2 linked regions of the Canis lupus familiaris genome follow. The protein of the gene in region 2 purifies or fractionates together with the protein of the main gene of each other region. This does not show direct contact. Links are inferred from orthologs where the notes say so. Each region holds a gene or a part of one and is shown on either strand. Other genes may lie near its edges.

The links.
Region 1: the proteins of JOSD2 (region 2) and AHCYL2 purify together in Homo sapiens (affinity purification with mass spectrometry; 3 studies listed by BioGRID and IntAct, counting the BioPlex papers as one, with this or other methods). This does not show direct contact. The link is inferred for Canis lupus familiaris from reciprocal best matches to the Homo sapiens genes JOSD2 and AHCYL2.

Annotation. Positions count from the first base shown.
Region 1 is NC_049235.1:7,204,529-7,207,739, forward strand, and holds the end of AHCYL2 (adenosylhomocysteinase 3), read right to left. Parts: intron 2,667-3,211; coding exon 2,546-2,666; intron 1,975-2,545; coding exon 1,968-1,974; 3' UTR 850-1,967; downstream 1-849. UniProt on the Homo sapiens protein: May regulate the electrogenic sodium/bicarbonate cotransporter SLC4A4 activity and Mg(2+)-sensitivity. On the contrary of its homolog AHCYL1, does not regulate ITPR1 sensitivity to inositol 1,4,5-trisphosphate.
Region 2 is NC_049222.1:106,898,764-106,903,720, forward strand, and holds the start of JOSD2 (josephin-2), read left to right. Parts: upstream 1-1,598; 5' UTR 1,599-1,944; intron 1,945-2,483; 5' UTR 2,484-2,500; coding exon 2,501-2,646; intron 2,647-3,411; exon of another isoform or gene 3,412-3,970; coding exon 3,971-4,096; exon of another isoform or gene 4,097-4,827; coding exon 4,828-4,957. Other genes in the region: ASPDH (putative L-aspartate dehydrogenase), read left to right, coding at 86-170, 264-413, 496-716, 788-942, 1,273-1,316. UniProt on the Homo sapiens protein: Cleaves 'Lys-63'-linked poly-ubiquitin chains, and with lesser efficiency 'Lys-48'-linked poly-ubiquitin chains (in vitro). May act as a deubiquitinating enzyme.

The DNA of each region.
Region 1 (3,211 bases), on a different chromosome or scaffold from region 2:
TTAATTAATACAAAAGAGATTAAATTAATTAATACAAAACTCAGAACTGGGTAGGCAAAAGGAAGAACTTTGTGGCCTAGTGGAATTTTCAGCATTTACGATCTTCCTCATGAAAGAATATAGCCATGTATGTGGCATTTTTCCAGTATGTGCTAAGATATACAGCCTCTGAGGAACCAGATGCTATGGGCTGAGGCTGTATACTATTTAATGAGGCAAGTAGCCATTTACCCAAAGCCCACCTCCGTACCTCCAAAAGGAAGGTCACTTCCCGACTAGCGCTGAAAGTATATGTGAAAACCAGGGGAAGTTGAAGAAGGTGGAGATAGGAGAGGAGAATCGGGGTTGGTAAGGTTATAGTGATCCTGGATGGTCTGGTGGCATTTCCTTGAGTCATCTTGGTCTTGAGACTATGAGGCAGACCAGGTTAGGAAAAAAAAAATGGGAAAAGAAACAAACAAACAGGCAGACAGACAGACAGATCTGAGAATGTTAAAGAAGGTTGTCGGGGGGGAAAGGGACACACTTCATCCAAGATTTCTAGGGCCACTCTGGACTAACTCTTAAAACCGGTCTGGTCCCGATGAAACCCTTAAGACCAACAAGTTAATCTCCAAAAGGTATCCAACTCTTATGTGGGACATAAAATTTCAGGCTGCTCACATTACTAATTTTTTGATGTTGGAGTTACTCAAGAGGCCACCTCTGAAATATAGAATCCTAAGATGGAAGAGGCAAGAATATAAAAATATATCCCAGGAGAGAAGAAAAACCATGGACTAAATCATAGAGACATCAGATCTCAGTTTGATCAATGGCAAAGGCCAAAGAAATGAATGTATGAGAAGGTTCGAACTAGTCAAACTAGCTTTAATCATCTGAATACGGCTTACAGTGTCATCTCTGTATAGCTTGGCTTGTTAAGCTGCAAAGCCCTTCCCAGGAGACAAACACATACATTCTGCTTCTTCAGAGTATCAAACTGTGGGCCTGAATGGCCTATACCACTTCCAAAGCCCACCCTCAAATCCATTGGAAAGTACATCTTTCCCTGCTCAGTTTCAAAAGCAGTTTTAGGCAATAAGAGGAAATTTCAGGAAGCAGAGTTTCATAACAAACTCTCCTTTTCTGAGCCAGTGCCAGTCTAGAAGGAACTTCCTGGGAAACTGTTCAGTTAAATGACAAGTAAAACTATGGGCCCCAGTAAGGCTGGCCCCCACTTCCTGAGCAAAGTTTAGTTGGGTTAGAAAGACGGTAACACAAATATCTGACAAACACCAGGGCTGCTGAGGAAATAATGGAGGCACATTCCTCTTGGAACCAGAAAGTGTTAAAACAGAGGTGAATATTCAAGGAAGAAAGGGGTCCTGGGTAAGGAAGGAGACACCTGATAAGCACTGGCGTAGCTAAGTTCTTGATGTAGCTTGCCGAAGTCATAACATTCCTTCCTTCCTAGTCATTTTATAAAGAAGGCAGTGATAGTGATGGTCAAGGCTGGGAACCCAGGCCATGTTAATTCAGTGGCTTCCAAAAGGCCTCACCTGGGGAAAAGCCAAAGCTGAAAAAGGCAACTGCTGAAAATTTATTCCAGAAAACCCCAGGGAACAAGGAGTCTGGAATTCCTGGACTAATTCCTGAACCTGGACAAGAGACAAATGACCATTGCTGAGGATTCCAAGTCAGTGGGGAATGATGCAGAAGATAGAGTGGGAAGGATTACCCCATATCTTTCCTTCCTCAGCCTGTCTTTCATGGCTCTCACAGCCCTCGGGGCAGTAACCACACTCTGGGCCAAGGCAACAGGCACAGGATTCTAGATTTTAATAAATAAATAGCCTAACATATAGGGTGAGCACGGCGGGCAGCTGATTGGAGAAGCAGCTTGCTGGGTTCTTTTCTGTATAGGAGTGGAGAAAAGACTTGGAGTTCTATTCCTTAAAATTTCTTCTGGCTTGAATTACAGGAACTTAATACCTAGAGGGAGAAAGAAAGATGAGAGGGTGATGTTATCGGCTTGTGAGGATGCTGGGACATGAAGAGCCCACCTAAGGTATATAGCAGCAGGGATGCAGGGAGTGTATGATAAGGGTAGATACTTGTGGTGTTTTTTCACATCAGTGAAAAAGACCGGTATTTTTTCCATAAAGAGGTAAAGATCGTATCAAGAAGATGAAATGGTGGGACACCTGGTTGGCTCAGCGGTTGGGCATCTGCCTTCAGTTCAGGGTGTGATCCCAGGTCTGGTGATTGAGTCCCCACATCAGGCTCCCCAGAAGGAGCCTGCTTCTCCTTCTACCTATGTCTCTGCTTCTCTCTCTGTGTCTCTCATGAATAAATAAATAAAATCTTAAAAAAAAGGAGGCAAATTCAGAAAGGGAACATTAATACTTGGAGAAGGCCTCAAAGAGTCCTTTGGAGGTGGCAGTGACGGGGAGTGGGTTTATTTTTTCTGAGTTCACATAAATATGAAAGATGCAAGGACAGTGCAGAAAGTTTTTTCTACCCAGGCTTTCCTGTCTTCAGGGGTGGAGTGGGGGCAAGGCACCTGTAGTAATTAGGCTTGAAGGGCCCATTCTTGTTGAGTCCCAGATACTTGGCCTGTTCATCTGTCAACTCTGTCAGGTGGGCATCAAAGGTGGGCAGGTGTAGGCTTGCCACATACTCATCTGGAACAGATCACAAAAACCCTGGTATAAACATTCATGCCTCTTGTCTGGCTGTTCTTTCCAGGCTAGGCCTTAAAAAGTTGGAAGACATCTTCTAATTCCCAAGGCTGAAAGAAAAATGCTCAACTGGCTCACTGGCCCAGAATTCTAAGGAGTTGTTGCTTGAGCTTCAAGCTGAGTGTTGTTCAAAGCCATAACGCTTCTTTCTTACTAGCTGTCTTGTCCTTAAAGCTTTCTTTCTCCCCAGAAAGTTAAGGGAGATATGAAAGAAGCAATAATCTTTAGCATCTAAAAAAAAAAAAAAAAAAAAAAAAAGATGGGATAGCAGGAGACTAAAAAATGAGAAACTTGAATTTTTCTTCTGTCTTAGACTCTAGACTTTGCGTTACTCTGGAAAACTAACACCTGAGGATATTAGAAAGGAATTAGAAAGGAATCTAATAATAATACCATACTGTTTGCTTTGCTTTTAGGATCCTTAGTTCTTATGGGTTTATTTTACATTCTATTACCTGAATACATATAATTCAGAATTTTATGTCATT
Region 2 (4,957 bases):
CGGGCCTCCAGAGGCTCTGAGGGAGTCTGAGGAGGGGAGTTGCAATGCCTCTCCAAGGCCCTCCCCCATCTCTCCCCTCCCCCAGGCACCCTGACCTTGTGGTGGAAGTGGCCCATCCCAAAATAATCCAGGAATCTGGGGCAAAAATCCTGCGTTACTCCAACCTCCTGGTGAGCCCTGCCCAGCCTGCCTCGGCCCCACCCTACCCTACAGTGGGATCCATCCCCTGACCTCAGCAACCCCCCCACCTCCATCCACCCCAGGTGGGGTCCCCCTCAGCCCTGGCTGACCAGGCCACAGAGCAGCAGCTGCGAGAGGCCTCGCATCGCTGGCACCATGCCGTGTTCGTGGCCCGGGGGGCCCTGTGGGGCACTGAGGACATCACCAGACTGGACGCAGCAGGGGGCCTCCAGGTGAGGACCCGCCGGGATCCCGGGCAAACCAGAGGGGGCCTCCAGAGACCTCCGGCCCCATCACCCTGGCTGTCACTTCCAGAGTCTTCGTGTCACCATGGCCACGCACCCCGATGGCTTCCGGCTCGAGGGACGGCTGGCTGCAGTGCCCAGCACTGGGCCTCGCACAGTGCTCTACGAAGGCCCTGTCCGTGGGCTCTGCCCCTTGGCCCCTCGCAACTCCAACACCATGGCGGCCGCTGCACTGGCCGCCCCCAGCCTGGGTTTTGACCACGTGGTCGGGGTGCTTGTGGCTGATCTCAGGTGAGCTAAGGCGTGTGGGAGGGTCAGGCGGGGGGCCAGGCCAGCCAGGCTCACCACCCTGCTTGCCCCAGCCTCACAGACATGCATGTGGTGGAGGTGGAGCTGAGCGGCCCGCCGGGCCCCTCGGGCCGAAGCTTTGCTGTGCACACCCACAGAGAGAATCCCGCTGAGCCAGGCGCCGTCACGGGCTCGGCCACCGTTACCGCCTTCTGGCGCAGCCTCCTGGGTGCGGCCCCTGCAGCCCCTCTCCCCAGGCCCTGGCTCTGCAATCCGCAGAGCCCAGGTCCCGGCTGGGTCTGGGTCTGCGGGTCTGATATGGTCTCTAGTTGACTGATCTTTATGTCTGTGTCTCCTTCACTTTCTCCTCCCCGGCTTTGACTCTTGAGAGACCCATCCCTGTAGGAACCTCCCTTCTCTGCCTCTCGCTGGGATCCCACCACCCTTCTCCCTGTGTGTCTCCTCCCCCACCCGGGTCGGTCCCTCCCAGCAGGTGTCTGACTCTCCTCATCGCGCGGTCCCAGCCTTTTATTCCCTGTATCTCCCTCCACCCCCGCAGGCTGCTGCCAGCTCCCCTCCAGGCCGGGGATCCATCTCTGCTGAGAAGCCGCCTCCTTCCCTGGTGGACATCTTCGTCTCATTTACGTCCCCATCCCGGGCCTCCCCGCTGTCTCAGTAAACACTGGAAGCTCCTCTCCCTGCATGGTCCGTTGTCTCTGGTCCCTTGGTTCCCTTCTGTGACGTCACGCGGCGACTTCACACTAGGCTTGGTGCCACCATGGAGGATGAGCACCTGCGGGAGTCACACTCCCGGGAGCTCTCGCGAGAGCCTACACACTACATTTCCCAGAATCCTCCGAGCATCAGGGGGCGTGGCCCCTGCACGCAAAGAGGAGGGGCCCTGTAGGGCATATTTCCGGGATTCGCCGCAGCGACCGAATTGCAGTTCTGCGTCCTCCCGGCTACAGTGGACTTCCGAGCCAAGCTCCCCGGAAGTTCCGATCCAAGCCGAAGGGCCTCGCGGGGGCCGCCGGAACCTGTAGTCCGGCACGCGGGGGCCGCTGGGAGCTGTGTGCGTCCGGCCTGGCCAGTCACCGCGCGGTGTTGCCCGCCTCGCGGTCGGAACCCACAGCCGCCGCCCAGGGGGATGCGGGAACCCCTGGTTTCGGGGAGCAGAGAGGCAGGAGGGGTGAGGGGCGTTGCCAGGCAACGGGCGAGCGCCGCGGTTGGGGTATGGGTCGGGGGGAAAGGCTCTGTTCCTTGGTGTCCGGGGAGGGGGTCCTGTTGCCGAGAGACAGGAGCAGGAAACCCTGTTGTTTGTGATAGGGGAGGGGAGTCTTCTGTTGCTAGGCGACTGGAGGAGACCCTGTTACCTAGAAACAGGGGAGAGGATTTCTCTATTGCTAAGAAACCAGAGGAGAGGCTTGTTACCTAGTTGGGGAGGGGGTCGTCTGTTGCTACGGAACCAGAGAAGGACCCCGTTACCTAGGGACAGGGGAGGGGGTTTGCTCGGTGACCACCATCCCTTTCACTTAGGGATGTGGCAGGGGTAGCCCTCTGTTGCTAGGTGAGTAGGAGAGGCCTTTTCCTAGCAACAGGGGAGGGAGGTACCCCGTTGCCAGGAGAAGGCCTGGGGAGCCAGGGTCAGCGGCCCAGTGTCCCCTTGGGCTGCCCTGAGCCCCCACTTCAACGGCAGTGCCCCCCAGACCTGCTGGCAGGTTGGGCCTCCAGATCCCGGGCCCCCAAGTACCTTCTTCCCTCGCCCCCAAGCAGGAGCCGAGGACGGCATGTCCCAGGCCCCAGGAGCACAGCCGAGCCGGCCCTCCGTTTATCACGAACGGCAACGCCTGGAGCTGTGTGCCGTCCACGCCCTTAACAACGTCCTGCAGCAGCAGCTCTTTAGCCAGGAGGCTGCCGATGAGATCTGCAAGAGGTGACCGTCACCCGCCCTAACCCCTGGAGAAGCAGGGTTCGGGAGCAGAGCGACCCAACCAGGTCTCACAGCAAGGCAGGGACAGAGCCCCGGGCCTTCCAACACCCACCTGGGGAACCCTGAGCCTGGGACATGGAGATGTTGCTGCCCACACCTGCCCTTCACCATGGCCACGCCACTGCCCCAGCTCAGACCTCACCTTCCCTTATCTGGATCCTCATCCTCACATCCCCTCCAGCCTCCCAGCTTCTGGATTTTCCCTGCCTGTCCACACTATACACAGTGCCAACCCCGCCCTCCTCTGCTCACAGCCCTCACACCGCTCCTCAGCAGCCCTGGGAGAAGTCCCAAGTCCTGCAGCCTAATACCCCAGGCCCTGCATGCTGTGGGTCCCCACCTTCCTCTGCAGTTTCTTAGCTCACTGCACCCCCCAAATCACAGTTCTTCCCAGTCCCCAGATGAGCCCTGCTATGATGCCTCTGGCCCTTTGCACAGGCTGTTTTTTTCCTTCTGGCACGGCTTCCTTCTCTTGGCAGCCGGGAATGTTCCTCCTCACCATGCAACATTTCAAACATCGCTCCTCTATTCCCGCTCTGCCTTGTCTCCTCCTCTCTGTCCCCACAGCCTCCGTCCCAAGCCTGGATCCCTCCTCCTTCAGTAACCCACATGAGGCTCCACCCAGAGATGATCCTGTCTTCCTCACTCTTGCTTACAGCCCTCCCATGGACCCTCCAGCATCCTCAGGCAGAGTCCCAGCCCCTCAGACCAATTGTTATAGAATTTATTCATCTCCTCTGCCATTCACAACAGGGGTCCATCAACTCTTGGATGCTGAGGCCATGCTGGAGACCCAGAGATGAGTCCAGTATAGGCCCTGCCCTGAGGGAGGTCAGGCAAACAGATATGCAGGAAAATAATACACAGACTTTCCCTCTCAGGCCCCTGCCCCTCCCCCTCCCCCTGCCCACCAAGGGCCAAGAGAAAGAACAAAGGTGTCACTGTTCAGAGAAGGCAGGACCCAGAGAGACAAATAGTGGCAAGGTGGGCCTCCTGAGCTGGGGGATGGCTGGAGGAGAGGTGGGGAGACCAGATGAGGCTTCAGGTCAGGGAGGACAAGGCCTGCGCAGGGAAATGTGGCTATAGGACAGGGCAGAGAGAGTTGGGGACGGTGGGATCAGGCTTGGGGCTGATGAGCCATGGGGTTGAGCAAAGGGAAGAGTCCAAAGGCTGGATGATTCAAGGTCCCTGGGACTCTCCTGCTTTGTAGGGAGGGCAAGACCTTTTCAGGGACCCCCAGCTCAAGCTCTGACCATCCCCTGACCAGGTTGGCCCCAGACTCCCGGCTGAATCCCCATCGCAGCCTCCTCGGCACCGGCAACTATGATGTCAACGTGATCATGGCAGCCCTGCAGGGGCTGGGCCTGGCCACCGTGTGGTGGGACAGAAGGAGGTGGGACCCCAAGCACTGCGTCATGTGTGCTGAGCCTGGCACAGTGGGTGCGGTGTGACAATATCGGTGTGAGATAAAGCAGAGGGTGGGTGGATAGGAGGTGAGAAGGAAGGGGTACAATGAGTGGAAGGTTTGCATGGGTGGATGATGGATGGATGGCCAGCCAAAGGGTTGGGAGATGGTACAAAGATGAGTGGGATGACAGGACGGACAATAGGATGAGCCGATGGACGGATAGTGGGTAGGTAGACGGTAATCTGGTAATGAGGTGGATGGTAAATGTGTAATTGGATGTGTTGAGGAGGTGGTGGTTGGCTGACGAAGTGGATGAGTTAATAAAGGATAATTGATAGGCAATGGATAGCTAATAGGTGGTTGGATAGTTGGAGGGATGGATGGACAGATGGACAGGTGGATGGCTAAAGACTGGATGAGGTGTTGGAGGATGGTGGGTAAGTTGTTGAGCTGGTGGCTGGCTGGCTGATCAGTTACATCAGTAGATGAATGATGTTTGGGTGTACGATAGTTGGGTAGTTGAGGGGGGTGGTCACTAGATGGGTGGGAGATTTGGGTGCATGGGTGAATGAAAGGAAATAAAGAGCGAAGAGAGTCCTTGGGCAGGCCTGGGGGCTCCTGCTGTCATGCCAGCCTGGCTCCCACGAGTTCAGTACCCCTGGGCCAGTGGGTGAGCACAGGACACTGACGGCCGTGTCCCCACTCCACCCACACAGGCCCCTGTCCCAGCTGGCCCTGTCCCAGGTACTGGGACTGATCCTGAACCTGCCCTCACCCATGTCCCTGGGGCTGCTGTCCCTGCCACTGCGCCGGCGGCACTGGGTGGCCCTCCGCCAGGTGGATGGC